Cricetulus griseus: one gene and its partner. The protein of the gene in region 1 interacts with the protein of each later gene in a pairwise test. Links are inferred from orthologs where the notes say so. Each region holds a gene or a part of one and is shown on either strand. Other genes may lie near its edges. The genes, in order: Rnf40 and Ncbp1.

What was found.
Region 2: the proteins of Rnf40 (region 1) and Ncbp1 interact in binary tests that used the Homo sapiens proteins (3 or more experiments, as listed by UniProt). The two-hybrid records come from large-scale screens. The link is inferred for Cricetulus griseus from reciprocal best matches to the Homo sapiens genes RNF40 and NCBP1.

What each region holds. Positions count from the first base shown.
Region 1 is NC_048596.1:73,161,655-73,176,356, forward strand, and holds the start of Rnf40 (E3 ubiquitin-protein ligase BRE1B), read right to left. Parts: upstream 7,821-14,702; 5' UTR 7,600-7,820; coding exon 7,468-7,599; intron 7,034-7,467; coding exon 6,866-7,033; intron 6,792-6,865; coding exon 6,650-6,791; intron 5,186-6,649; coding exon 4,979-5,185; intron 4,449-4,978; coding exon 4,327-4,448; intron 4,229-4,326; coding exon 4,082-4,228; intron 3,999-4,081; coding exon 3,924-3,998; intron 3,227-3,923; coding exon 3,107-3,226; intron 3,024-3,106; coding exon 2,844-3,023; intron 527-2,843; coding exon 391-526; intron 1-390. Other genes in the region: Ccdc189 (coiled-coil domain-containing protein 189), read left to right, coding at 8,584-8,793, 9,225-9,256, 9,789-9,854, 10,203-10,372, 11,161-11,231, 11,393-11,509, 11,601-11,661, 11,739-11,825 and 1 more; Phkg2 (phosphorylase b kinase gamma catalytic chain, liver/testis isoform), read right to left, coding at 13,602-13,895, 13,988-14,113, 14,185-14,338, 14,422-14,512.
Region 2 is NC_048595.1:97,282,994-97,297,751, forward strand, and holds the start of Ncbp1 (nuclear cap-binding protein subunit 1), read right to left. Parts: upstream 9,117-14,758; 5' UTR 8,891-9,116; coding exon 8,857-8,890; intron 1-8,856. Other genes in the region: Tstd2 (thiosulfate sulfurtransferase/rhodanese-like domain-containing protein 2), read left to right, coding at 11,794-11,958. UniProt on the Homo sapiens protein: Component of the cap-binding complex (CBC), which binds cotranscriptionally to the 5'-cap of pre-mRNAs and is involved in various processes such as pre-mRNA splicing, translation regulation, nonsense-mediated mRNA decay, RNA-mediated gene silencing (RNAi) by microRNAs (miRNAs) and mRNA export.

The DNA of each region.
Region 1 (14,702 bases):
CCTGCTTCACCTCTACAGGAATCTTCCATGGTTTTTCTTTTATTGTCGTCTATCACCCTAGAGTTTACTAGAGTCACTCCACAACAGCAGAGATTCTTCATTTATTGGCAGAACCCCAAAACCTAGCATTGAGTGTGGCTCACAGGGAGTACTCAATAAATCTTTGTGAGACAAATCTCTCAGAGGTTAGACCAGCTCACAGTCTGGTGACACCTGCTCAACTTCCCATCCCAGCTGCTATGACACTGGGAGTGACACAGGTAGTGAGTGTAGTGCCTGTTTTCTGTGGCCAATGGAGACTCGGAGAAAAGCTCCTCATTAAATCTAGATAAGCAGCCGCAAGGTTCCAGCACCCTTCTAGGCTTATCTCTACCCAATCCCACCACGTACCAGCCTGCTCGTTGGCCGCAAGGTTCTGTTCAAACTCAATGCGCAGCATCTCATACTCCTTTCGTACCTGGGCCAGGGTATCCTCCAACTGGATCACTTCTGTGCGCAGTTTCTTCTGCAGCCCCAATTCATCACTCTGTGGGTCGAGGCATTTAAAGACACAACCGTATGAGAATCCTACCCCCATACTAATGAAAAGACCTAATTTTTGCTTACAAAGAAATAAAGCTGGCAGACGGAGGTGGCACATGCCTTTAATCCCAAAACTTGGGAGGCACAAGCTGAATTCAAGGCCAACCTGGTCTACAAGGTGAGTTCCAGGACAGCCAGAGATACACAGAGAAACCTTGTCTCAAAAAGAAAAAAGAAAGAAATAAAGCTAGCACTGGTCACTTAATCTTCTATCTCTCCAGAAAAAAAGGACTCCAGTAATCGAACGTAAGATAGATAAATACACCAAGCATCATGGTGTATGCCTTTAATCCCAGCACTCAGGAAGCAAGGGCTTGTGGATGACTTACACTGGAGGCCAACCTGGTCTATATAGTGAGTCCCAGGCTACCCAAGCCTACATTCTGACACCTTGATAGAGAGATGGCTCAGCAGTTAAGAACACTGGTTGCTCTTCCAAAGGACCTGTGTTTGATTTCCAACCCATATAACTGCTCACAACCCTCTGTATCTCTAGTCCCAGGGGATGCAACACCCTCTTCTGGTCTCTGTAGGCACTAGGCAAACTGTGCTGCACATGCATATATACAAGCAAAACACTTATTTATTTATTTGTTTATTTATTTTTGGGTTTTTTGAGACAGGGTTTCTCTGTGTAGCTTTGGAGCCTATCCTGGCACTCGATCTGTAGACCAGGCTGGCCTCGAACTCACAGAGATCTGCCTGCCTCTGCCTCCTGAGTGCTGGGATTAAAGGCGTGTGCTACCAACGCCCTCAAGCAAAACACTTATATCTAAAAATAAAATTTAAAAAGGAGGCAGCAGCACTGGGGAGATCACTCAGTTGTTAAGAGCACTGGCTGCTCTTACAGAGGACCCAGGCTCAATTCCCAGGACCCACATGGTGATTTAACCGTCTGTAACTCCAGTTCCAGGGGATCTCATGCTCTTTTTGGGCCTCAGGGGCACACAAGTGGTACACAGATGAACAAACAGGCAAATACCCACATGCATGAAAACTTTAAATAATACATACATACATATATAACATCATTAGTTTTTTTTTTTTTGGTTTAGTCTTTTTATTGTTTTTTAAATAAGAACTAATACATGTAGAACTAATACAAGTCCTAAAATATTTGGCACTAATATTTCTTTTTGGAAATCCAGCTCAGTTTCTTTTAATGTTAATATGATTAAAAATTAACAGGAATAAACTAAAATTTATTTCCATTGCCATATAAAGTTGCTGTTTTGCTACCTGGAAAATGCGCAGTAGAAACTGGCCTCTGAAGGCTTTCCTTGTGTTTTCAATGCTTCTCTTAGAGAAAATATTAAAATTGGCTGGAAACAAATAATTGTAAAATGCCATTACCAGGAAATGCCTGAGTCATTCTTAACTCTGTGACTTCTGGAGGGAGAGGTGCTGAAGGGGTTTAGAAGGAGCTCTTTCTATGGGTGTGGTCTGCATCCAATTAATACCCAAGCAGAAAACGGTTTCCAGCACGGACACTGCTCTAATGCACACTACTTGCTACCAGAACAACCAGCTGCGTTTTTTTTTTTTTTTTGGGGGGGAGGGGTGGTGGTTCAAGACAGGGTTTCTCTGTGTAGCTTCGTAAACCAGGATGGCCTTGAACTCAGAGATCCACCTGCCTCTACCTCCCCAGTGCTGGGATTAAAGGCGTGCGCCACCACTGCCTGACCACCAGCTCCTTTCTATAGTCATTAAACCAGTTTGTATCTTAATGGGCTTGTTTTCTACTCTGGTACTTTACATCTGATTATTAAAGAAACAGTAACTCAGCTGGATGGTGGTGCATGCCTTTAAATCTGGCATGGTGGAGGGAGGGCAGGGCAGGTGGATCTCTGTGAGTTCAAGGCCAGCCTGGTCTATAGAGCGAGTTCCAGGCTATTCAGGGCTACACAGAGAAACTCTGTATTGAAAAAAATAAAATAAAAAAATAAAAAGAAGAAGAAAAAGTAACTCTTTGGCAGCAATGGATCAAGTCCCATTTCATCTCACCGTGCTTGTGATTTTAGTGTTCTCTTAGCCCAGGTCTTACAGATAAACCATTTATGGTGGTTATAATGATACTTTTAAAATAATAGAGTTAATGATTAAAATTGGAAGAAAAACACATCCCAGTCTTACCTCTGGCCACGGAAGAATCTATGCCCAAAGGACTCTTAGCAGGTACACAAGGACCCATGGAAGCTCAGGAATGTCAACTCTAAAGGTCTAGTTTTCACCCCCAGCCCCAACTCATTCCAAGACCATACCTCCATATGCTCAATGTGTCTCAAGTGGGAGTTCTTGGAGGCCAGCAGCAGCCCCCGGGCCTCATCTAGTTGGGTCTTCACTTGCAAAGACTCATTGTAGAGCAGTGAAAACTGGGCCTGTAGCATGCGGTATTCCCCGGTCTCACGAACTACCTCCTCAGGAAGGCTCCGCAGGGCCACCTGGGTGAAGATGTCCAAAAGGGTCTTATTAGCACCAGGATCTGAGGCTTAGTGGAGGCCCTTTCAGCTCAACCAGAGCCTACCTTGAGACGCTCGTTGGTCCGAACAGCCCCCTGAAGCTCAGCCTGAAGCTTCTCTAGTTCTGCCATGCGGCTATTGGCCAATTCCTGGTTTTCTTCCAGCTCTGCATTCAACATCTCAAACTAAGGAGTGGAAGGGGCTGTGGTAGGCAAGACCAGGATGGGCAGTGTGCTCCCCTAAGAGTCCTCCATCCAGTCCTCCCAAGCTCCCCCTGCAAGAGCACTGACAGAAAACTCCAAACCAAGGGTTTTCCTTTGGCTCTCAGGAAATGGGAGAAAAATCAGTCCTGCATGGGAATATCTTCCTTGTACTTTTTCTTTATTCTACTAATTACCAACTTATGTAGTGCTTATTACTTGTATGTCCTCCGAATAGAACCTAACTTCCATAGAAGCTTTATTGGAACAGTTGGGAGTTTATTGACAATTTGATTTGAAGCTGTATGGTGGTTCAAAGCCTATAATCTCAGCACTTGGGACACAAAAGTAGAAGAATCAGTCACCCTCAGCTACACAGCAAGTTTAAGGCCAACTTGGCCTATGTCATGAGACCCTGCCTCAAAACAAAGAAAACATAAAAGGATTGCAAAAACAGACTCAAGTACAACATTAAGGAGAGAGAGAGGTGCTCAAGATAAAGTCAACTAAAGCTCCGGTTTTCATTCATCCTCATTAATCTGCCTAGTTCCTGGCACTTAAGTTCTGGAATTATTTAGTAAGTATATAAATGAATGAAAGGAGAAGGCGCAACACTGTCAGCTACAGACTCAGATACAGATGGTTGCCCTGCAATGAAGGACCCGAGGGAACTGCTGCTCACCTTCTGCATGCTAAGTGTGATCTGGCCTCCCTGGAAGCCCGAGGAACTGCCAGACACATAGTAGCCAGAGTTGAGCTGCAGAGAAAACAGACACAATGGATGTGAAGGGCAGAAGGTAGGGCCCCAGGTACTCAACTGGGCTCCATCCACTCCTGTACCTGCTCCAAGGCCTCTGCCAAGTGCTTATTGAGCTTCTGTTCTCGCTTGCGAAGCTTCTCAATGTCCCACTGTAGGTCCTCCACTGTCGTCTCCATCTCCAGGACCTTGGTCTCTGTTGATGTCACTTTATCTTGGAGCTCAGAGTACTGCAGGCAATGGAAAGTGGCTTGGCTTCCTAAGATCCTTAGATGGCAAACCCAAACCCTGCTCCAGTTCTAACTGCATCCAAGAATCTGATTCCCACCTCCAGTGAGATGCGGTGGTGCTTCTCTTGTAGCTGAGTGGCCAAGTCCTGTAGTCGACGGTTCTCTCTGCCCAGCTCCCGGGTGCGTACCCGTGCTACCTCCCCAGGGGCCTCACTGTCCCCTAGGAATGCAGAGCCCAGATGAGAGTCAAGCCCTGGGTAACCAAGCAAGCATTAACTAATCCTGAAGTTTACATGCTGAGTGTGTGAACTAGCTGTCTCACCAATTGCTTATGACAAACCCAGGAGATGAAGCTAGCTCAGACAAGGAACCATTTATCCAAACAGCTGATACTAGGTAGGGAGAACTAAGGATGGGAGAAAGAAGGCTGTTGCCACAAAAAGCCTGGGTACTTGCCTCTCAGTTTAGTGGGACAATAGCTGCCTCTAAGGTTTGCACAGTGTCCCAGAGAGCCCTCTCACTGCAGGGGTGTGACCCTACCAGGACCAACAGTTCCTCCAGCCAGCCATCCCTCTGGAGTCCCATTTCAGAAATCAAAGCTGAGATCTCATCTTGAACTAAGTTGTTCCAACAAGAATGAGGCTGACTATTCACTGGGAACTCTGACATCCAAGAATTACTGAGATTGGGAGGGGGACTCCTAAGGATGCAGGTGGGGATGGACTTCTCTAGAGGGTCTAGAGAACTAACCTCGGCTGTATACTCGCTGACAGAGTTCTTCCACCTGACGCTGTAGGCGGTCCGAGGCCTCCACCACCCGAGACACAGCAGCCTTGGAGAATTCCATCCGTCCCTGCAGCTGCAGCTCCACTTCCTCACTGCTGCTGGCACCCAGTGCCACCACAAAAGCCAATGCTGGCTCACTGAGAGGGGTTCGAAACTGCATTGGCAGGGGTTCTGGAAGGGACAGATAACCCCCATAGGAATAAAGGCAGCAATGACCATCAAACTGTACCAAGTTCCACAATGAGTGCTTTAATCTCAATGGCTAACCTAATTAATACAACCTGGAGAGTACTCTTGTCCCTTCTTGACAGGGAGACTCCTAAAATTTAAATAAGTAATTTTCTTTTCTGAATGGGGTCTTATTATATAGCCCTGGCCTCACCCAAACACACTGAGATCCAGCTGCCTTGGGGGCCCCAGTGCTGAGATAAAAGACTTGCACTACCATGCCTGACAACAGTTTTATTTCCTCCTTTTTTTTTCCTTCACGCTGTAGACCAGGCTGGCCTCGAACTCAGAGATCCACCTGCCTCTAACTCCTGAGTGCTGGGATTAAAGGCGTGCACCGCCGCCGCCGCCGCCGCCGCCACCACCACCACCACCACCTGGCAAGTTAATTTTCTTAAGGATCAGCGACATCACATCTTCAGAAGGCTCCTCTGCCCTCTCAATCTAAAGTAGAACCCAGCCTCCTGCCGTATTTGTTCCTTTATAACAATGCCAATTACTTTTTACTTACTATGGTTTATAGTTTCCTTTATGGCAACAATATATTTCTTCTTGCTTACCTCTGATCCCTCTATGTCTAGCATAATTCCAAAATTGAGTACTCATTTTGTTTTCTTTTTTACTTTTATATCTGTGATGTGTTTAAGAATGCCAAAGATGGGCTAGAGAGATGGCTCAGAGGTTAAGAGCACTGGCTGTTTTTCCAGAGGTCCTGAGTTCAATTCTCAGCAACCACATGGTGGCTCACAACCATCTGTAATGAGATCTGGTGCCTTTTCTGGTGTGCAAGCATACATACAGGCAGAACACTATATACATAATAAATAAATAAATCTTAAAAAAAAAAAAAGAATGCCAAAGACTAGTATCCAGTTTGGTTTTGTTTTTTAATAACAGAGGCCTGGTTTTGGTGGCGCTCGCCTTTAATCCCAGCACTCAGGAGGCAGAGGCAGGAGGATCTCTGAGTTTGAGGCCAGCCTGTCTAAAGATCGAATTCCAGGACAGCCAGGGTGACATAGACCCTCCCTCGAAAAAAAAGCATAAATAAATAAATAATAAATAAATGAAACAATAGAAATCCACCTGCTTCTACTTCCAGAATGCTGGGATTATGAAAACTCAGTTTGATTCCAAAATTTTGTTCTTGCTCACCATTTAATTGTGTTTTTTAAATTGCCTTTGAGACAGTCTCTCTGTGTAGCTGTGTAGCCATGGCTGGCCTTGAACTCCAGAAGAGAGCCACCAGCTTCTGCCTCCTAAGTGCTGGGATTAAAGGTGTGCACCACTACATCGGGTATGAAATCAACTTTTAAACAGCTGTGTGGGAGGGTGCATTTCAGCAGCCCAACACCAAAGCCACCTCAAGACTTTTTTCAGAAATTAAGGTCCCCAGGGCTCTTGTCCTACCCCTCAGATCTGAGGTCCCTGGGTCTGTCCGAGGGATCCCATCACGAGTGAGCCCCTCCTGGCACCCAGGTGCCTCAGTTCCCGAGGACAGCTCCCTCTGGCGCTCATGACATCGGAGAAGGGCTTCCACAGTCTCATCCAGCTAAAAGAAGAAAGAACCAAAGAGGTTATGAAAGCCTCGGTGCCTTCCCAGCAGGGCGATCTTCGGGCATTCACCTGGGCCCAGTAGCGGTTGACGATGAGGAGCGTGGCGTCGTCGGTGGCCTGCCTCTTTTCCAGTTTCTCAATTCTCTCCCGCAGCTCGTCCTCACAAGCTTGCCGCTGCTCCAGCCGCTCGGCCAGCTTCTTGTTCTTGAACTGCAGTACCTTGGAATCCATCTCCTCCTACCAGGGGGGAAGAGGCAGAGAAGTGTCAGGCAGGGACTGGAACCATCCCAGGGACAGGGGAGGACAACTAGATTGAAAGCGGAGAGGCATACTAAGGATAGCAACCAGTGAAATTTAAAAAGACTCAGACACAGACAGAGAAAATATCTTGGTCGTGAGAGCTTCATATTCTGTTTCTACTTCTTTTCTAACTAAAGTTTTTGACTGATCGCACGACTTACGAGAAGAAATTTATGTGTGAGTAGAAGGAGAGAAGGACTCCACAAAGTTGTCCTCTGATCACACGCGCGCCGTGGCACGCCCACGGCACGCCCACCGCACCCACCCCACCCGACTCGCACCCCCGTTTTGCGTATATACACACGTGCACACACGAGATTCTGAGCGCTTTGGGCTGAGGTCAAGCAGGAGTTTAGCAAAAGCCCACCCACCGTGGAAGAGATGCCCCCGAGACGAATGGGCTCTATCAGAGTGGTCGTGGTCTTCTCCTCGCGGTTCAGCTTCTTCTCTGGGGGTCCTGAGCCCCCGTCGCCGGCGGCGCGCTTGTTGCTGAGGCCAGACATAGCGGCGGTGGCTGCTGGGCAGCTCGGGGCTCTCCCGGGCCGGCGGGCGGCGAGCGGGCGGGCGGGCGGGCGGAGGCGGCACTTCCGTCACCTGCAGAAAACCGAGGGCAGACTACGGACGCGTCCGGGGCTCCGCAGCCCCGAGCGTCCCAGGGGACACACCTGCCGGACCCCGCCCCCGCTGGCCCAGGGTCCGCACCCACGGTAGGGTCAGCCGAGCGCCACCATCTTGGACTTCACCGGACGTCACCGGCCGCCAGACGCACAGCGCAGGCGTCAGAGCAGCTCCGGATGTGGCGAAACTTATTTCCTGTTTCTATTGGTGGCTCTAGGTTCCGCCTCTTGAGTCCTTGAGTTTTTTTCGCGATCGACTGTGTATCTCTCAGTGATTGGCCAGTAGGCCGTTCCCATAGTTACTGAGCCCGCAGTTGCACTTTGCAGTATAGGAATACAGAGGCCGATCTGCTGTTGGAGCCTTTCCTGCTGCTATTCAGGAAACCCGGTTCACGATCGCCTGCAACTTCAGACTCAGGTGGTACGTGCTCTCTTCTGGCCTCCGTGGACTCCCGCGAACGTGCTTGCGCGCGCGCGCGTACACACACGCACACACACACACACACACACACACACACACACACACACACACACACACACACACACACACACACACACACACAGAGTTTCTTTTTAATTAAATCTTTAAAAAGAGGGACCCCCAATAAGCAACTTTGAAGAGGCACGTGCAACTTGTTACGCATGCGCTCTAACTTCTCAATGATTGGCGAGTGCTTGTACTTTCTACTTTGCTTAACAACGGTCACCGGGGAGACTGGACTGGGAAGACGCCCCCTGCGGATTGGCTGCCACCGGCTTCACCGCTTGTGAGAACCACTAGAAGGGGCAGGTCCGGGCATTGCGGTGACAGAGCTGGGCGTCCCAGAGCCTGGGCGAGAGAGCACTTGACTGTGCCTCAGAAGAGCGAAGATGATCAGCCCCAAATCCAGCCAGGTCCTGGGAGTTAAGATGCAGTCGGAATTTGAACAGCTTCCCCAACTGGAGCAGGATCTTGAGAGTTGTGCCAGGTCGGAAGGTGGATCGGTAATAAGGACAGAAACAGACGTGCAGACCGAGTCCACCGCCGAGGCCTCCACCTCTGTGGGAGTGGCTGAAGATCCTGGAGCCAACTTGTTCCCGGTGAGAGCCGGACAGAGCTGTCCACTAATGAATATTTATAAAAGATTTCCCCGCAAGGCACTGACAGTCATTACTTTTGCTAGCATCCGAGGCATTTCTGGAGTTGCCATGTTAATAGGCTAGTAAAACCCGGCCTCGCCCCCTTTATTTTTTTTGCGGGGGGGTTCGAGACAGGGTTTCTGTGTGGCTTTGGAGGCTGTCCTGGAACTAGCTCTTGTAGACCAGGCTGGTCTCGAACTCACAGAGATCCTTCTGCCTCTGCCTCTCAAGTGCTGGGATTAAAGGCGTGTGCCACCAACGCCAGGCTCGATCCCTTTATTATACATAAAATTATAGCATTCTGAGACCCGCTAGACATTCACGACGGACCAGGGACTAGGCTCTACATATTGTAATAGCTCTTCTTGCCGTGATCTGTTTTCTCTCCACAGCCACCGCTACCCCAGCCCCGGATCTGTATGTGGTGAGTGTGGAGAGCCCTGGGGAAAAATTACACTTCTCATTTGTATTATTCCTTTAAGGTCTCCCCAACAGTCTTGTCCAGCAGCCAGGGCACCCCAATTTTACAGATGAAGAGACTGAGCTGAGAGATGCTCAAGGTGACCAAGTCACCAGTGTTCCAGGCTCAGTCCAAAGTGGCAGTGTGAGAAAACAGACAAGTACCAAGCATGTAAGCATGATGGAACACTGTGCAGATTGATGCCAAGGCCCTGGGGGACTTCACCATGGTCACACACAACAAGACAAGAACTCAAGGTTTCTAATCATTGGATTTATAAATAAAATGTCTCCTAAGGGTCTAGATCAAGAGTCTAGATCCTAGACCATGAATTTCCTCATTTATAGTGGGAGGCCCAAAAAATGACTTTCCAAAGGGTGCTTAGTAAGTTAGACTAGCCTCAACTCCTGATTCCCAATCCAATGCCCTAGAAGTCACAGTCCCATCAAGGAAGTTATATGAGCTATCAACGATTTGTCTCATCTTTTCCTGACAGGAAATACCTGGACATCCATTCTATGCACAGACTGGAGAAGGCAGTCACTGTGGAAGAGATGAGAGAGTATGGTCTGAGTTGGGACAGACAGAGTTCTCGGGAGGGGAGCCATGAGGGATGGCAGGCTAAAGCATAGATTGTCAGGTGATGGAGATGAGAGGAGGCTTGTGGTTAAGAGCATTGGCTGCTCTTCCAAAGGACCCAAGTTTGGTTCCCAGCTCCCACATGGTCTGTAACTCCAGTTCCCAAGGACCCAACACCCTCTTCTAGCCTCCCTGGGCACCAGAGAAACACGTGGTAGACAAACACACATGCAGGCAAAATACCCACACCGGTATAATAAAAATAAATCCTAAGGTGAGGGTGAGGGGGGGGAGCTCCTGTTGTCACTCATTCCTTCCTCTCCCTCCCAAGGGTTCTGGCTGAGCTCTTGGAACTTGGCTGTCCTGAGCAGAGCCTACGGGATGCCATTATCTTGGACCTCTTTTCCCATGCACTCATCTTCTGCCGCCAGCAGGGCTTTTCACTAGAGCAGACATCAGCAGCTTGTGCCTTGCTCCAAGATCTTCACAAGGCCTGTGTTGGTGAGAGGGAGGCTGCCACCAAAAGCTTTGAGCCCCAGGAGAGGAGGCTGGGCTAGGACAAGTGACTGTGGGAAGCAGAAATAGGGAGACTACAATCTGGGATTTTTGTTCCACCATTAACTAGTATTATTGTACCACATTTTATCACCTTTGAGATGTTTCTTTATCAAAAAAGGAAACACATGTAATGATGTTATGGGAAATATATAAATAGGGGGCTGGGGATGTAGCCCAGTTAGAGTGCTTCCCTAGCATGTGCAAAACCCTGAGCTCAGTTCCAGCACTGTATGAATCAGTGGGGTGGCACACACCTATAATCTTAGCACTTAGGAAGTAGAGGCAGGAGAATCAGAAGTTCAAGGTCATCCTCAATTACAAGGCCATCCTGGGCAAAAGCAGACTCTGTCTCACAAACAAAGTAGCTTCCTGGTGTCAAGTATGGGGGGCTCAAGCCTGAAAACCCAGTGCTCAGGAGGCTGAGGCAGGAGCAATGCCATTAGTATGAAGCCAACTTGAGTTACACATTGAGTTTCAGACTAGCCTAAACTACTAAATGAAACACTGTCCCAGAAATAAAACCAAACCAGAGGGAAGGACCTTGCCTGTCTTGTTCAGTGCCTAGAAACGTATATAATGAGAACTTAGTATTTGTTGAGTGAATTGACAGAACAAGCCAGGCCTTACTCCTAGATCTGTCCACTTCTGAATTCCATGCTCTACAAGGAGTGGGGTCAAAGGATGAGAGGAGAGTAGGAGGGACCTGACTGCTTCACCTTGTCTTCTTCCAGCTACCCCTTTGGGCAATGTGGAGGAATGCTACCGCTACTTTACCAGCGTTCTCTTTTGCCATGGAGTCAGGGTAAGATCTAGCCCAAATTCCTGTTCTCTCCCACTACTCTCCTCCTCTTCCTCTGAAGGCCCCCTGGGGTCTGCCTGCTTCTAGATACCATGCTTTTGGAGGAAGAGCTAGGTAGACTTCTGGAGGCTGCCAGGGCACTTAACTTATAATTGCCATCACAGCGGCCCCCTTTTAGCATCGATCTCTTTAAAGAGGAACAGCTGCTGGCATTGGCAGACTATGTGATCAACACCTACTTCCGCCACTTCAAGCTCTACAAATACGTCTTCACACCCCAGGTACTGTGTACAGGAAGTGAATGGCCACCTGTCTCCCCTTCTCTTATGGGCAGTGCTATTCTCTCAGCCTCCTCTTCCCGTGTCTCCCCAGGTTCGGCTGGACCTATCTTTGACTTACATAGGGCTACAGCCACCCAAGCCCTGGCCAGAAGGTAAGATGGGTACAGATGGGACAGGCTAGGACTGGGCAGTGCAGGGACTAAGGCCTCTTCCTGCTTCTGGCATGCAGAGAAAGAAGGCGAGGTGTTGGCAGAACAAGCAGCTACTCCACAGGAGGAAGAACCAGAAACTGTGACCCAGCCAGAGCAACAGCCAAGTGAGTACTCTGAGGGGTTAAGGTGCCCTGGGACTCTGTGCTAAGGTCAAATTTGGGTTTGGGTCTATTTGAATCTTCATTCCCCTACCCCCACAATTTGGTTTTGTAATACTGGGGAATGAAATTACAGCCATTTGCATAAGCATTTACCACTAAACTGTATATTCTCAGCCCACCCCCTTTGTTTGAGACAGTGTCTATTTAGTCCTGCCTGTTCTGGAACTTGCTATGTAGACTATGCTGGACTCAAACTCCTAGAGATCCTCCTGCCTCTGCCTCTTCACTGCTGAGCCATCTCTCCAGTTTTGTTTTATTAGAGAGACACAGAATGAGAATGTGTGTGTGGCAGATCAGAGGACTTTGGGAGTCCGTTCTCATTCCATCTTTATGTGGGTTCCTCGGATTGAACTCAGGTTGTCAGGTTTGCATAGCAAGCTCTTTACCGCTGAACCATCCCTCCTGCCCTTGTTTTAATTTTATTTTTTATTTTTTGAAACAAGGTCTTGCTGTGCAGCCCAGGCTGGCTTTGAACTCAAGATCCCCCTGTCTAACCTCCTGAGTGATGGGGTTGTACAGGTGCTCCACCATACCAAGCTCATGACTTAAGTTTTAGTTCTGCTGTCCCCTAAAATTTCTTTTGAGATTTATTTTTTATTTTATGTGTTTTAGAATTTTGCTTACCTGTATATCTGTGTACTACACGTGTGTAGTACTCGAGGTCAGAAGAGGTCTGAATGCCCTTGGAACTGGAGTTACAGATGGTTATGAGCTGCCATGTGGGTGCTGACAGATTCTCTGGAAGAGCAGTCAGCCCCTTTAACCACTGTACCATTTCTCCAGCCCCATGTCCCCTCTCTAAGTAATTCCTTATGCAAAAGTCCAGATTATAGTGTAACTGCTGGGGTGTTGCTATGGGGGTGGTTGACAATACCAAGTACAGATCTGGTAAGCTAGGTCCCAGGATGCCCGGTTTTAAACGTGCTGTGCATATTAACTCCATCCTACAGTCAAGGAAGTGTTCCCATCCATGTTTGTCATGAAGAAGCCGATGGACAGGCTGCCCAATGTCAGACTAAAGTACAGTAAGAATCTGTACTTTGCCCATTCTGCCCAGCCGTCTGTCTCAGAAACATGGCTGAACTGAAGCAACACTTTGCATAGCTCATCCCCAGATAACACCTCTCCTACCCTCCTCTCTCCCTGTAGGTGAGGTGTGCATCCTCCAAACCTATATCAAGACCCAGCTGAGCAAGGAGCTGAGGCAGCTCCAGCAGCTGGTGGAGGAGCGGCTCAAGGAGAGCGAGGAAAGGCTGAGCAGCAAACTGGCGGCCTTGGAGCGGCCCTATCAGCCACCTCCCAGCAAAGGCAAGACCAAGACCAAGTGATCCCCAGCATCTTCTCCAATAAAGACCTGGGCCAGAGCATCCCACCCCCCACCTTCATGAGCACCTTCTGTGCTTCCCTGTGCAACTAGATAGCAGACTTGGGCACTGGCTCTCCCAGGCTTGTAGCAGTTTTATTTCAGACGCAGCACAGACAGCGATGACAAGGCCAGGCTCATTGGGAGATGTTCCCTTCCATCTCAGCCCTGATCTCCAAGTCCAGGATTGGTAGAGGTAGAGGGCTGGTTTCTGTGGTGAGTAGTATTATCAGTGGTAGGCTTGGCAAGGCAGGGCTAAGCTCTGAGTCCCAACAGGCTGGAATGATTTAAAAAAAGAAAAAAAAAAAAATCTCCTCCTGGAGAGTCTTGCTTTCTGGCTTGCCAGGGAAGAAGTCCTAGGCTAGCACCAGTGCAGCCTCATCCTCTGTGATAGTGTTGGAGTCCCCTTCTTCTTCGGTGGCCATAATAGGGAAAGACCTAGGAGGCTGGTGCTGGAAGAGGGCTGCCCGGTTCTGTTGTTCACCCTTCTTCACCCAATGCCCATAGAGCCGGAAGGCACAATTATCAATTAGGCGCCTAACTGGCCGCAGTGCATAGGGGTCTCTCAACAGTGAATTCTTGGTTAGTGGCCGTAAACGGTGAGTGCTTAATGCCACTCGTCCAGCAGCCAGTATTGTCCACACTGCCACCTGGGAAAAGGGGCAATATTAGCCCCAATAAAGCATCCAGCAAATGGGAAAGGGCAAGGCCTGGGTGCAGACCCTGCCATGCTCAGGCTTACCCGGAACTTCTGTCGAGGTGTGAGGTTCCAGGATTGGCTACCTTCACAGCGCTCAAAGAAGGGGTGCTGTAGAGCTTGCTCAGCTGTTAAGCGTTCCTCAGGATCCACCTGCAGCAGCTTTGAAATCTAAAGAAACTTCACAGTATGAGAGTCAGAACTTGGGTCTTCCCTAGTGTCTCCTCATGGCCCCTACTCACCAGATCTTTGACGGTGCTTGAACGATCATCCCACTCTGGTGAGCTAAACTGGTATTGGCCTTCCATGATCATGCGTAGCATCAGGATTTGGCGTCTGTGCCAGAATGGTGGTGAGCCAGCCAGAAGCGTGAACAAGATCACTCCACAGGCCCAGCTGAGAATGAGACTGTGGTTAGACTGGCCTAGGTAACAATCAAGGACATGACACACAGAGGGGAAGGGATGACACAAACTTACAGGTCGACTTCCTTGCCGTAGCCTGGGTGGGTTTCATCCATGGAGCACTTAAGGATCTCTGGTGCTAGATACCCTGGAGTCCCACACAACTCTGGGGAGAGAGGGGAGAAGACTGAGGGAATGTCACTAGCCCCCTCCAGAACCCTAAACACCAGAAGCATCTCAATTTTACAAGAGAAACAGTGTTCTCTTTCTGCTCCTGTGTTTCCTGCCAAGCCTTAGAGCAAGGCCATGTCCCTAGCTAACCAACTTACATTCCCACTAAAACTCACAGAGGCCTT
Region 2 (14,758 bases), on another chromosome or scaffold:
CTGGACAATTTCTATCCCGCATTCTTTTAGATTTGTGTGTACGTAAGTGGATGCACACATGTATACAGGTTCCCATGCTAGTACACTCATATACAGCCAGGAGAGGGTGCTAGGTGTCCTCCACCACACTATTCTTTAAGGCAAGGTCTCTCCCGAACCTGGGGCTCACTTTTCTTAGCTAGGATGATGGTAACTCCTAGTGATCCTCCTGTCTTCACTCTCTTGAAGTTGTGGTTAAAGACATATACTGCACACACTTAGAGTGCTGAGACCCAAATTCCAGTTCTCATGATTGTGTAGTAAATGCTTTTAACTGTTGAGCCACCTCTCCAGACCCCAGTCTCTCCCTCTCTATGCATGTGCGTTTATATATATTTAATTTTTTTTTATTATTTTATATGTACAGATGTTTGGGCTATATGTATAACTATGTACCACTTGTATGTCAGGAGCCAGTGGAGGCCCGAAGGGAGATTCATATGCCTTGTAACTGGAGTTATGGACTTCTGTAAGACACAATGTGAATGTTGGGAATTAAACAGAGGTTCTTGAGAAGAACAGTTGGTGCTCTTAACTGCTGAGCCATCTTTCCAATGCCTCACATTGTCTCTGTTATTAAGGTCACTATAAAGAATAATGTCAGGAGGCATTTTTTCAGTTAGATTTGTGTAAGCAATGTCCACTTCTTCGGAAACACTGAAGGGCACCAACACACCAAACACCCATAATCTGAGTACTGCTGCTTCCATTCTTTTAACTTGCTTACTGACCCACAGTTTTTGGTTCCTAAACCTCATAGTGTCAACCGTACTTGTTAAACTGATGATGTAACTAAATTACTGCAGAAACTGCTGAAATAAGGATTTAGAAACAAGTTGACTCTGCTGGAAATTTTTTATTTAAAGTATGACTTTAAACTTAACAGTGCTGATGCTAAGAAACTGCTTCAGAATGCATAATGCACCAACAGTGTTCTTCATTATTATTCAGAACCAGATTTTAGGTGAGGGTCAGAGAATACAGAGTGAAAAACTAGCTGAATGAGAGCAGCTGTTTTTCTAAACCTTTTCAAACTTTTTCCTTCCTTCTGGCCCATCTACTATACTAATCCTTTATCACATCCCAAAGCCCTCCTAATTATACATTGTTCCAGTTTGCAACCATTTTTGTCTTCCAAACATTTCTTCCATGTCCTCTTGTAAGCCTGACACACAGAAATCACTGCTTTGGGGAGACAAGGCAGACTTTCTAAAGACAATGAGAAAATACAGGCACATAGTCATATCTCTGAACTGTTAACTTCTGTGTTGCTGTGGCTATCCAGCCAAGGTTTATCTGGAGAAAACTGAAAGTACTAGAATGTGAAGAGTCACTCTTCTTACCTGATACTTGAGAGGGTATGAAAGGTACATGTGAGTGCTACCGATCACAGTCTGAACCCATGGACAGTAATAAGACACTGAACTCAGCAGACAGTCCGAGTGAGAGCACAGAAGCAGAATACAGCACCTTTATTAAAAATACTTTGGGGGGGGGGCTGGAGAGATGGCTTGGTGCATAAGAATACTTGCTACTCAAGCATGAAGGGCCAAGTTTGATCCCTAGAATTCACATCAAAAAGCTAACATATGCCTGGTATTGTGGTCTTTAAATCCACCATTAGGGAGCCAGAGGCAGGTGGATCACTGAATTTGAGGCCAGACTGGTCTACCTACAGTTCTAGGACAGCCAGGGCAAATCAGTGAGTCCCTGTGCTGGCTAAATTTATGTAACTATTCACAGGCTAGAGTCATTTAAGAGAAGGGAACCCCAATTGAGAAAATACCTCCATAAAATCTGGCTGTAGGCAAGTCTATAGGGCATTTTCTTAATTAGTGATCATGGGAGAGGGTCCAGCCCATTGTGGATGGTGCCATCCCTGAGCAGCTGAGGCTCAGAACCTAAGGTGAGCCACTGAGGAAGGTGCAGCCTCCACAGCAGTTGAAGGCCCACGATCAAAGGGGTCATGAAGAGTAGCTGAGGCTTGGCACTGTGAAGAGAGCCCCGGAAAGGGCTATTGGTGAAAGAGCAGCCCAGTTGCAGACAAGACCCCAGCATTTTGGAGAGGCCAGTAACATGGTATGACCAAGGACAGTTGCACGGATGGAGTGGAACCTGCCAGAGCTTAAGAGACAAGCTGTGTGTGCTGCAGAGAGTGAAGCAAGAGAAGAGACCCAAGATCCTTGGAGGATCCCAGAAGATCATGAGTGGATCCCAGACATTGGACACAGAGTTATTTATAGGTGGGAGTTTGGATTTGCTTTGTTCAGACTGTGAATGTGCTCTGGTTCTTGCCTCTTGAATAAAAAAGCAACTTATTTTTGAGACTTTAAAAGTTTTAAAATCCAAAGTGTTTGCATTGGTAAAGACTGTTGGGTTCTTACGTTTGTAATATGTTTTATATTTGTGTTATTTATTAATCTGAGATACTGGAGATGAAAAAAAAGGGAAAGGTTATGTCTTAAGTAAAGTATGTCAAACTGACAAGGAGTCAATTGTGCCGGCTAATTTTGTCAACTTGACACAGGTTAGTGATGTCAGAGAAAGGAACCCAATAGGGAATATGTCTCCACAAGACTGGGCTGTAGACAAGCCGGCAGAACATTTTTTAAATTAGTGACTGACAGTGGAGGGACCTGTCCATTACAAGTGGTGCCACCCCTGGGCTGGTTGGTAGTCCTGGGTTTTATAAGAAAGCAGGTTGAGCCAGATATGGTAGAGCACACCTTTAATCCTAACACTTGAATGGGAGAGGGAGATGGATCTCTTGAGTTTGAAATCAGCTTGGTCTCCATAGTGAGTTCCAGGACAGCCAGAGCTATCTAGAGACCCTGCTCCCCTCCGCGCCCCCAAAAAAGCAGGCTGAGCAAACCAGTAAGCAGCACTTCTCCATGGCCTCTGCATCAGCTCCTGCTTCCAGGTTCCTGGCCTAACTTCTCTCAATGATGGACTATTACCTAGAAGTATAAGCTGAAATAAACCCTTTCTTCCCCAAGTTGTTTTGGTCATGGCATTTCATCACAGCAATCGTAATCCTAACTAGAACACCCTGTCTTAAAAAAAAAAGCAAATACAGCCATGCAGGTACCTCCCACTACAATACTATGGGAGGCAGAGACATGAGGATTGTTGGGGTTCGCTGGCCAATCAAAATGTTAAGTCACAGCTTCAGTCTGGTAAGACAGAGGGTGATAGAGGAGGGCACCCAATGGCCTTTACATGGCACACACACCCATGTGCATATATACAACATCCATACTGTTTGGGAAATGGGGGTGGCTCGGTGGGTAAAGTGCCAGAGGTTATCAACCTGTGAGTCCAAACCTCTTCGGGGTTTAACGACCCTTCATAGGGGTCAAATATCAGATATCCTGCATATCAGATATTTATATTACGATTCATAACAGCAGCAAAATTACAGATATGAAGTAGCAACGAAATAATCCTATGGTTGGTGTCACCACATGAGAAGCTATATTAAGGGTTGAAGCTTTAAGGCTGAGAACCACTGCCCTAATAGATAGTTTAGACACTCTTTGGGGAATTGGTTGAACATTTTCATACCCTGAACAATAAAAGAAAAACAAGTCTATGGTGGTACCATAATCCAAAACAGGCTTTAAAACAGGGCTAATGTAAGTTTTTCAATATATGTTAAAGTAACATATTGCTTTATCTTTTCTGCGCTTATCTAGTACAGAAAAGAGACCTTTGTTAACAACCACTCTGAGGGCTCTTAAGACAACAAATAACAGCCTGGAATGGTGGCCCTCGCCTTTAGTCCTGGCACTCTGGAGGCAGAGGCAGGCAGATCTCTCTTGAGTTTGAAGCCAGTTTGGTCTATGCAGCTAGTTCCAGACAGCCAGGGCTATACAGGGAAACCGGGTGGTGGTGGTGGTGGAACAAACAACAGAACAAAACAAAAAAATCCCACAGACACCAAATCATTTTCTCACTGCAAGATGAACCTAATATTACAAGGACACATTGTACTATTTCCTATACCCTTATGAGAATAAGATGTGTAATTTGGATCCACAATGTAGACAAAAAAACAACACCATGAAAGAAAAAATAAAACTCAGCCAAGAAAAGTAATATACTTTGACTACAGATTTAAAACAAAAATCTAAATTGATTAAAAATATCTGAAACAGGCTGGGTGGTGGTGGTGCACGCCTTTAGTCCCAGCACTCGGGAAGCAGAGATAGATGGATCTCTGTGAGTTCCAGACCAGCCTGGTCTACAAAAGCTAGTTCCAGTACAGCCTCCAAAACTACACAGGGAAAAACCCTGTCTCAAAAAACAAAACAAAACAACAAAAACAAAACAAAACAAAAGAAAAACAAAAACAAAAAAATCTGAAACAAAGTATACTATCCTTCAGCATAACAAACCTTCCACTTCTCTTCAAGTTTTCTTTCTATAGTTAAGTTTAAAAACATCAGTCACTGTCTAAAAGATAAAGACCTAGATTAAATAGGCTTTCTGGACTTCTGACGAAGAAGTCCTTTTAACCATAAAAATAGTATACTTAACACTGATAAAATACATATCCAACAGTAAATGAAGAGGTTCAGAGACATTATCTATCACTACCAGACACGGTGGCCCACACCTTGGGGGGAAGGTAGGTACACCCGACCTGGTCTATATAGCCAGACCACAGTAGTTACAGCCTGGACTACATAGTTCCAGACAGCCAGGACAGCCACATAGAGACCTTGTCTCAAAAAACAACAAAAGTGTTTAAGACTGAACTACATTTGGTACTTTCCATTTAGGATAGTCCTTTCTGTTTCTCTAAATAAACTACAGGAACTTTACTGATTGATTAGCTATCTACTACTACCTCTATGAATCCCCAGTAAGATATAGTCCTAACAGAAATGTTTAAAATGGCCCAGTAAGTTAAGAGCCTCATCTAAACTCTCTGGTCTTTCTTTGTTGATTTTTCGAGACAAGGTTTCTCTGTAGCTTTGGAGCCTGCCCTGGAACTCACTCTGTAGACCAGGCTGGCCTTGAACTCACAGAGATCCATCTGCCTCTGCCTCTCAAGTGCTGGGATTAAAGGCATGCACCACTACCTGGCTAAACTCTCTGGTTTTATCTCTCATAACTTCTAACCCTATTTTCTCTATTCTACCAACAATGATCTTCTTACTGTTCTCTGAACATGTCAGAAATGCTCTAATCTTAAGAAAGAAAGAAAAAGAAAGCTTAACATTATACTCATGGTTTCCTTTCAACCTCTGTTTTCTCAAACATCCATATGGCTTGTTCCTTACATCACTCAAGTCACAGGACATCTGCAGGGAGGCCTTACCCTTCTCTCTCACTTTGGTCCCTGTACCCTTTAATTCACTTTATTCTCCACAATCCTGTGATCATATGATAAACTACACTACACTGGGTTTTGTATTGATATATGGAAGGGAGCCTCCACTGTTATACTGTCTGCTACTGTACTGCAAGTAGTTAGGAAATTCTTAGCAAGTCCTGATTATATTGTATAGTTGTCCTTGGTATCCATGAGACTCCAACTCAGACACCAAAACTTGAGGATGTCAAAAGTGGTGCTGATAGGCCGAGTGGTGGTGGCACACGCCTTTAATCCCAGCACTCGTGAGGCAGAGGCAGGCGGATCTCTGTGAGTTCGAGGCCAGCCTGGTCTCTAGAGCAAGTGCCAGGATAGGCTCCATAGCTACACAGAGAAACCCAGTCTCGAAAAACCAAACCAAACCAAACCAAACCAAACCAAACCAAACCAAACCAAACCAAACCAAAAAAACAAAAGTGGTGCTGGTATTTTCTCATGATTTATGTATGCTGTGACACTGTATCATTTAGGGAATAACATGGGGGAAAGTACACATGTTTGGTACTGAGGGCTTTTCCTTTGAAATGACCAGACTGCCAGATTCAAGAGAGAGAATGAAGATGCAGAAGGCCAGGGCTACCCAGCCCAGTATAAGGAAAGTCAGAGTAGAGCTGACAATAACCCAGAAATCCTCAGATCTGTTTAACTTTGATTTCTTTAAAATCTCTAACCACCTTTAAAAACAGCCACCCAGCTGGGCGTTGGTGGCTCACACTGTTAATCTCATCACACCCAGCTGGGCGTTGGTGGCTCACACTGTTAATCTCATCACTCGGGAGGCAGAGGCAGGCAGATCTCTGTGAGTTCGAGGACAGCCTGGTCTACAGAGAAAGTTCCAGGACAACCTCCAAAGCAATACAGAGAAACTCTGTCTCAAAATAAAACAAAAAAGAATACATAGATGTAAAATAAATATGCTTCCTTTCCTCCTTTTAGCTGGGTGGTGGTGGCGCACGCCTTTAATCCCAGCACTCGTGAGGCAGAGGCAGGCGGATCTCTGTGAGTTCGAGGCCAGCCTGGTCTCTAGAGCAAGTGCCAGGATAGGCTCCAAAGCTACACAGAGAAACCCAGTCTCGAAAAACCAAACCAAACCAAACCAAACCAAACCAAACCAAAAAAACAAAAGTGGTGCTGGTATTTTCTCATGATTTATGTATGCTGTGACACTGTATCATTTAGGGAATAACATGGGGGAAAGTACACATGTTTGGTACTGAGGGCTTTTCCTTTGAAATGACCAGACTGCCAGATTCAAGAGAGAGAATGAAGATGCAGAAGGCCAGGGCTACCCAGCCCAGTATAAGGAAAGTCAGAGTAGAGCTGACAATAACCCAGAAATCCTCAGATCTGTTTAACTTTGATATCTTTAAAATCTCTAGCCACCTTTAAAAACAGCCACCCAGCTGGGCGTTGGTGGCTCACACTGTTAATCTCATCACACCCAGCTGGGCGTTGGTGGCTCACACTGTTAATCTCATCACTCGGGAGGCAGAGGCAGGCAGATCTCTGTGAGTTCGAGGACAGCCTGGTCTACAGAGAGAGTTCCAGGATAACCTCCAAAGCAATACAGAGAAACTCTGTCTCAAAACAAAACACAAAAGAATACATAGATGTAAAATAAATATGCTTCCTTTCCTCCTTTTAGCTGGGTGGTGGTGGCGCACGCCTTTAATCCCAGCACTCGGGAGGCAGAGGCAGGCGGATCTCTGTGATTTTGAAACCAGCCTGGACTACAAGAGCTAGTTCCAGGACACCCTCCAAAGCCACAGAGAAACTCTGTCCGGAAAAACCAAAATAAATAAATAAATAAATAAATAAATAAATAATTGTAGATACTTCACTAAAAGGCATCACATTTTTTATTTAGATCACTGAACTCTATTAAACTTTAATAATGTATATTTCTATATGTGTACTATTGGAGGAGCTGTAAACAGCCTTTCTACTACTCAATGATTTGCTACACTGAATTTTGATTGAGTAAAGCTTAATTTTACATCATTTTGTCCTATTTATTCTAAGGTTTCTGTAGTCAGACCCAACTGGGAAAATGATTCAGCTGCTAGCTGGGGTAAAAAAGCCAACTACACCCAAAAACTTACGAAAGCCTCCTAAACCAAAACAAGAGGTTTTCTATATATTTATACTCTAATTCTCCAGTTGGCTCTCCAGTAACATTTCCCCCTCACTTTAGGGGTACCCTGGAAGTGAGGGAAAGAATGGAAAGAAGTCCAAGATGAGCAAAGAGAATCAGAAGAAGAAGAGATAAAGGCCAAGGACAAATTCTCTAATCCAAAGCAGATTAGTACGCTAATCAAATACAAAGCAGAGAAAAAATTACTTCCTGTGTTCTGTATATGCAATTCACAAGAAACCACGATGTTAAAAACAACAAGCTGGGTGTTGGTGTCTCTGAGACATTAAAAGTTGATAAACATCATGAACTAATCTTGAGCACAGTATCACATTTAACCCTCATAAAAACCAAAAGTCTTAATAGTACTCCACATTATACACTCAGGTATATACACTTAGGAAATCATGTGACCCTGACACAATAAATAGCAGATGTCTAGCTTTGAACATAAACCCTTAGGTTCTAAAAGTCTTTCTTGTTTTAACCATTCACACTCAATCGTAATTCAATATAATATCAAGAGCTCCAAGTTTTACTCTCCTATGTGCCTGAGTCCTTGAAGGACAGTAATGGTGCAGCATTGAGCTTGTTTTTTTTGTTTGTTTGTTTGTTTTTTTATGATGGCAACACAACAACCTCATTGCTGGCGACTATCAAACCGACATGAGAACTACTAGACTGTTCAGGTTAGTTTGCCTGCATTTTCTTATACAGAGGAACAGGCTTAAAGCCAATCCTACGGAACAGCAAGTGTTTATTAGTGACTCTGGGGTGATGGTAAGACGCAAAATTCTTTCCCTGAAGCTTAAAAGTAGGAAATCAATGGGTGGCTGGTAGAAGAGTAGGGCTCAGATTGCAATTCATCCGTCCCCTGCCATAGCTTTGTTCTTTTCCTGTCTTCCCAGGGTCCTTTCCAGGTGCACCCTGGAGGGATAACATGAAAACACTGGTCCACTAGATAACCGTCACTGATCCTAAGGGGCAAGATCAGACACTCGTGCATTTCCACGCTCAGGAATGAGTGATCAAGTCTTAAGTGTCGGCGGAGACCAGGTCGGGTTTGCCCACGGGGCTCACCAGGCCTTCCTTCCCCATGACTGAAGGAGTTGGGGGCAGCGGGGCCGCTGTCGCTTTCCTGAAGCTACTAGCCACACCCGAGCCGCTCCAGCCGCTTTTTCCCGGGCTCCCAGAACCCTCCCGGGGAGAAAGGGCTGCCTATCCGTTCCCTAGAGACCCGAGGACCAAAGCAGCCCGGCCCCCGTTCTCACGCCGGGGCCGCGGCCACGCCGGGGGCACTTACCATCGTTCTCGTAGCTGTGCCGCCTCCGCGACATGCTGCTCGCGGGTGCGCAGCCGAGTTGAGCAGCGAGTCTCCTGCAACACCAGAACCGTCGGACTGCCGGCCGGCCGGTGCGCGGTCAGCGGCGAGGCGCGCGGACTGGCCGGCGCGCAGGCGCACTCGCACACGACGCCTGCCGGAAGCGCCAGCGGAGAAGCACCGGGTGGGCTCCGCGGCGAAAGGCCGGCGTCTGCAGGTCCGCACACAGGCGCCTCCTCCCGCCTTCTACTCTAGGGCCTTCCAGATGGCGAGCTAAATAGTCCCGGCCCCGGAGATCCCGCCTCAGCTTTGCACTGGGAACTCGCGGTGTTTTCCCGGCGGCCCCTGCGCCGACGGCTTTGGAGACTTCCGGAGCGAGGTGACGTCCTAGGGACTTTCTGCGCACGCGCGCGCCGGGGGGCGTGGGCTCGAGGGCGGGGAGCGGCGCCAAGTTGGTGAAGGGAGACCCAGGAAAGGCCTAGGACCGGCGGGTATGTGTTCTCACCCTCGCCGCCCGGCCGTAGGTGCCTCGGGAGACCTGGGGTGGTAGGGAGGGCACCCCCCAGCGGTGGGGAAGTCAAGCCCGCACGGCCCAGCCTGCTCATGGTTCTCTTGCCGCCTACCTCTCCCAGCTGACGGATGAGGAGGCAGCGGATAATTGATCGATTTGGTTCCAATTGTTCTTCTGTCCCTTTGCACGTGTGCAGTATGTGGACGCCCTCTGCCCTGATGTCTTTGATGGACACCAAACTGCCTTGTCTATGGTCTGGCCGAAACTCTTCGTTCAGTCTTACCGGTTTCAGTAAAAGGCCGTTTCTGTCGCTTGCTTAATCCATGAATTTAGGGAGGAGTCATTAGATCCTTCACAGACACTGCCCGCTGTACTTTGAGAGCAAGTCCATTAATGAAACCTACTACCATGTTTAAAACTCTTCACGGACTTTAAAAATATGACTGTTTTATGTGTTTGTGCCCGACTGTGCAGCAGCCCATGGAGGCCAGAAGAGGGCATCAGATCCCCGGGAACTGGAGTTTCATACATTTGTGAGCTTCCATGTGGGTGCAGGGCGGTTGTGTGGGGCCAGAATCATGCGTGGGTCCTGTGCAAGAGCAGTAAGTGCTCTTAACCACTGAGCCATCTTTCCGGCCCTTTCTTCTTGTTAGAGAATATCTTTCATCTGTTCTTTTTATCTATCCATCCATCTTGATCATATGCCCTCCAACTCTCCTAGAATTTCCATTGCAAACTCCAAACTATGACTTCTTAGATTCTGTCCCCATCGCTGTGTGTGAACCACTATGTTCTTCTGATAAGTTCAGCTTGTTTACATTTTAGGAATCAAGCCTTAACTGTTTCCTTTGCCTGATGATCTCTGCTCTGAAATCTACACGGCTGACCATCAGGTGCCTACAGAATTATTTCTGTGACGCTTTTTGTTTTGTTTTGTTTTGTTTTTGTTTTTTTGAGACAGGGTTTCTCTGTGTAGCTTTGGAATCTATCCTGGCACTCGCTCTGGAGACCAGGCTGGCCTCGAACTCACAGAGATCCTCCTGCCTCTGCCTCCTGGGTGCTGGGATTAAAGGCGTGTGCCACCAACGCCCGGCATTTCTGTGACTCTTAAACTCTTGCTTTATTTCATTCAGCAAGCACTATATTGTATTAGTTAACATTTGTTGCTTTCTGTACAGTGTTCAGGATACTGAAGCTGCAGGTGAGCAAAAGGAAGCCTCTGCTCTTTTGGAGCTGAAGTCCTGAAGGACCCCTTCAGAAATGACCACAGCCATTGTGGTCTGACCTAATAGCAAAGGAAGAGTGGTACAAGTTGGGATTAGAGGCAGGGACAGATTATCTGAGTAGGTTCAGACTTTGGAAAAGTCTTCCAAGAAGGTAGTTAAGCATCAGTAATTCAGGCAAGAAATGCTGGAGCCTTGCACTGGGGAATTCGGTTCAGAGTGGACTGCTGACTTTAAAAGGAAGGCAAAGCTTAGGGTCTGGTATGGTGGCATGGTGTTCTAGAAGTAGAGGTAAGGGGAATCTCAAATTCAAAATTACTAGGGGTTCAGGGCCAGCCTGTACTATGCAGCAAGACTCAGTCTCAGAAAAATGAATTTTAAAAAATAGAGGTTGTCAAGATGGCTCAGCAGGTAAGCACCTGATTCACAAGCCTGTGGACATGATTTTGATCAGTGGACCCTGTGAAATGTGGAAGGAGAGAACTGACTCCTGAAAGTTGTCCCCTTTCCTCCAGGTCCATATCCTGGCAGGAGTCTAGGCATAAGTAGACACAAAGTAAATAAAATGTAACTAAAAGGAAAACAGTTCATTAGTTATAGTTGTATCTATTTTGGTGAGATTTGGCCACAGTAGCAATTTTGAAATTTTGGCTCTGAGATTTGAGAACAAAAGAAACAAAGCCATAGTATCACTTGCGTTGGTTGATTTGGGATGTATATAGTGCTTTCCTTCTATTATCCACCTAGCATTTTTAACATGGCTTGCTTCCTAATTCATGTTTCTTTGAAAAATGGTATCTCAGAAAGGTTTTTCCTACCCCTTTGTGTATAAAGAGCCCTTTCACCTGCCTCCTTCCTCTGCTAATTTTTCTTTAAAATATTAAATTTAAAAAATCAGTTTATTGGCGTATCTTTCCCACTCGATTGTAAAATAGACTTTTTCCTGTTGCATTTACTGCTCTATTCCCAGTGTGTAGAAGGGTATTTGGCCAAGCATAGTTGTCACATAAATACTATTAAGTGAGCTATGAATGGATAGCTTGGGTTATGTGGCCACTGCTAATTTGCACGATTGATTTGCTTCCACAAGTACCTAAAAGTTGAGCATTGCATTTTCTCTCTTACGTCTCAGAAGATACTTGAAAGGAAGATACTGAAAGAAATCTGCCCCACTGATCAATCCAGATGCCTTCTTCCACTTTACCAGATGAAGGAGATAGCCTGGAGACCTGCGTTTTAAAGTTTTCTGATCTGGATTTAAAAGAATCAAATCTTACTAACCCCAGCAACAGTCTCAAAGCAGAGTTAGATGGCAATATAAAGAAGAAATACTCATTTGCAAAAAAAAAGGTAAATTGCTGTCGGTGATTTCATGATCGTGTATGTGTATATATATATAGTTAGTTAGTTAGTTAGTTAGTAAATATATATATATAGATAGTAAAGTACATATAGAAATAGATTATTGTTTAGTCTAGTCTCTAGCAGCATGTAGTCTTGGAATGTAGTTATGGTGGAATGTTTTAGGATTCCAGGTCCTGGTCAAGAAGGATGAATTTCTTTCCTTACTCAGGTGTAGAAGAATCCTAGGAGCTCAGAACCGTAGTATAAGGAGGACTGACAGGTAATAGGTCAGCTGGCTTCTAGTGAGGCTGTTACTGAGCCTGTTGCTGGTGGGGAAAAAGCTTGGTCTCATCTAGGTAGCTCAGTGCTTTGAAGAAAGAACAGAGCATCGCAGGATGCTGCAGCTGCTGAGAACACTGTGCCTGCACTATAAAGAAGTGGGGGTGATGCCCTTCATCAGTGCCATGTATTTTGTTGTTGAAACCATTGGCTGACTAAGGAGGGGTAGCTGAGACCTAGTTTTCTCACCTTCAGCCTGTGGTCCTCTTAGGGAGCCTCTTTTTGACTCTATGTCAGTGTGGAATAAATATCTCTGTAATTTCCCTGCTGCACCTTCAGTCAGTCCCATACAGATTTTCTTGAAAATGAAATTCAGAGGTTACAAAGGTCCTTTACCAGTATTATTTTGCAATAATTTCAGACTTACAGAAGAGTGAGAACTTTATAAATGATACACATACTGGCCTTGTCCAGAGATTCCATTCACATTCACCACTTGTCTCAAATGCAGGAGGCTCCCCTGGTTACACAGAAACTGAGCCAGTTACAGTGCTCACTCCCTTGGTTTGGTTGCCACACCTTAGTCCTTCCTTTTTGACTATGTAACCAATGCTGACCTTGAACTCATACCTACCTTCCAAGTAGTCCGAGTGCTAGGGTTACAGGCATGTACCACCATGTCCAACTTGGTCTTTAAACTAGAACACTAGAATTTTTCTCTCAAGTTATAGCTATCACACTCTTGAAAATTACAAATAAGTTGTTTTGTAGATGGACCCTCATTTTGGTTTTGACTGATATTTCCTTCTATGAGATTCAGAGTTTGCTTCTTTAGGAAGACTATCCTGGAAGAAATGCCATGTTCATGTTAACACATTGTTTCAGGTGCCCCACGTGCTGATGTTCCTGTTACAGATCCTTTCATTTTGGATATTGGTGGAAATTGTCTGCTAGGTTTCCTCACTGTAAGGTTTCCCCTTTTCCCATTTAGTTCATCAGTGGTTGGGAAGGAAATAGCAGTGCCATCTTCTTTTCTTCTTGCTTGTCATGAGGGATCAACTAAAGGAAACACTAAAAAGGCCCTAGAATGTCATTTCAGACTACTTGTGCCCCGCCCTGCATACTCCAGAGCCAGTCTAGCATAAATTGAGGAAGGTTCATCAGTGATGCAATTCACCTCTAACACCACCCCACAATCCATGTAGAGCTGGAGGGAGAGGATTGACTCTATAGAGGTGTTCTCTGACATTCAAGTGTGCACCATGCCATGTGCCCCTCTCCCCAATTATAATACAAAGTTTAAAATTTTTAAAAAGGAAAACAGACAATACATATAAACTAACAAATCAGAAAATGTAGGAAAAAATTTAGTCTTAGTACTAAAAAAAATATACAAATAAAAATGAAGTATTTATATTGCCTTTGGTGGGGGGAGCAATATTTAAAATATTGACAATAAAAACTAAATGCCAATAAGACTTAGGCCTTTCACCTGCTTTGTAGTTGAGAGCATACATTGACATGCATGTATAGTTTCACACTTGATGCTTTTTTTGGCTTTTTTTTTTTTTTTTTTGAGACAGGGTTTCTCTATGTAGCTTTGGAGCCTATCCAGCCTTGGGAGACCAGGCTGGCCTCGAACTCACAGAGATCCACCTGCCTCTGCCTCCCGAGTGCTAGAATTAAAGGCGTGCGCCACCAACACCCGGCTAGGTATCTATGGCAGACTCAAGTCATCTTATAGAAGACTTTATATATAGGTAATAATTATGTAATAACTATGTAATAGGAACTTTAATAGATAACCACAAACTAGTACTATAGTAATACAATTATAAATAACTATTTAATATATTAAATGATATAAGTTTCATAGGGAAAAGTTAGAGAAGTTTAAAGAAATTTTAGCTTGTTCTCTCACCAGAAAAAGTCCTTGTCAATAGGTGAGATTTGAAAATGTGAAGAATGGCAAACCGTACAGACACTGGAGGGAGGAAAATCCAGTGCAAAGTCTGAAGGTATTACAGATGCCTGCATGCTAGGTTTGAGCCAAAGCCAAGAAGTGGAAATGGGATGGGATAGGAACAGTGGAAGGAACTAGGTTATGGGGACTTCCTAGAGGATAGGAGGAGAGCCTTTGGGGAATTTTGAGCAGTGGAATGATATCTGTTCTAGTTTTTTGTTTGTTTGTTTTGGTTTTTGGTTTTTGGTTTTTCAAGACAGGGTTTCTCTGTGTATCTTTGGAGCCTATCCTGACACTTGCTCTGGAGACCAGGCTGGCCTCAAACTCACAGAGATCCGCCTGCCTCTGCCTCCCAAGTGCTGGGATTAAAGGAGTGTGCCACCAATGCCCGCCTGTTCTAGGTTTTTGTTCGTATTTTTTGTTTGTTTGTTGTTGTTTCAAGACAATGTTTCTCTGTGTAACCCTGGCTATCCTAGAACTTGCTCTGTAGACCAGGCTGGCCTTGAACTCAGAGATCCACATGTCACATGCCTGGCTTGATCTAGATTTTAAAAGAAACATTTC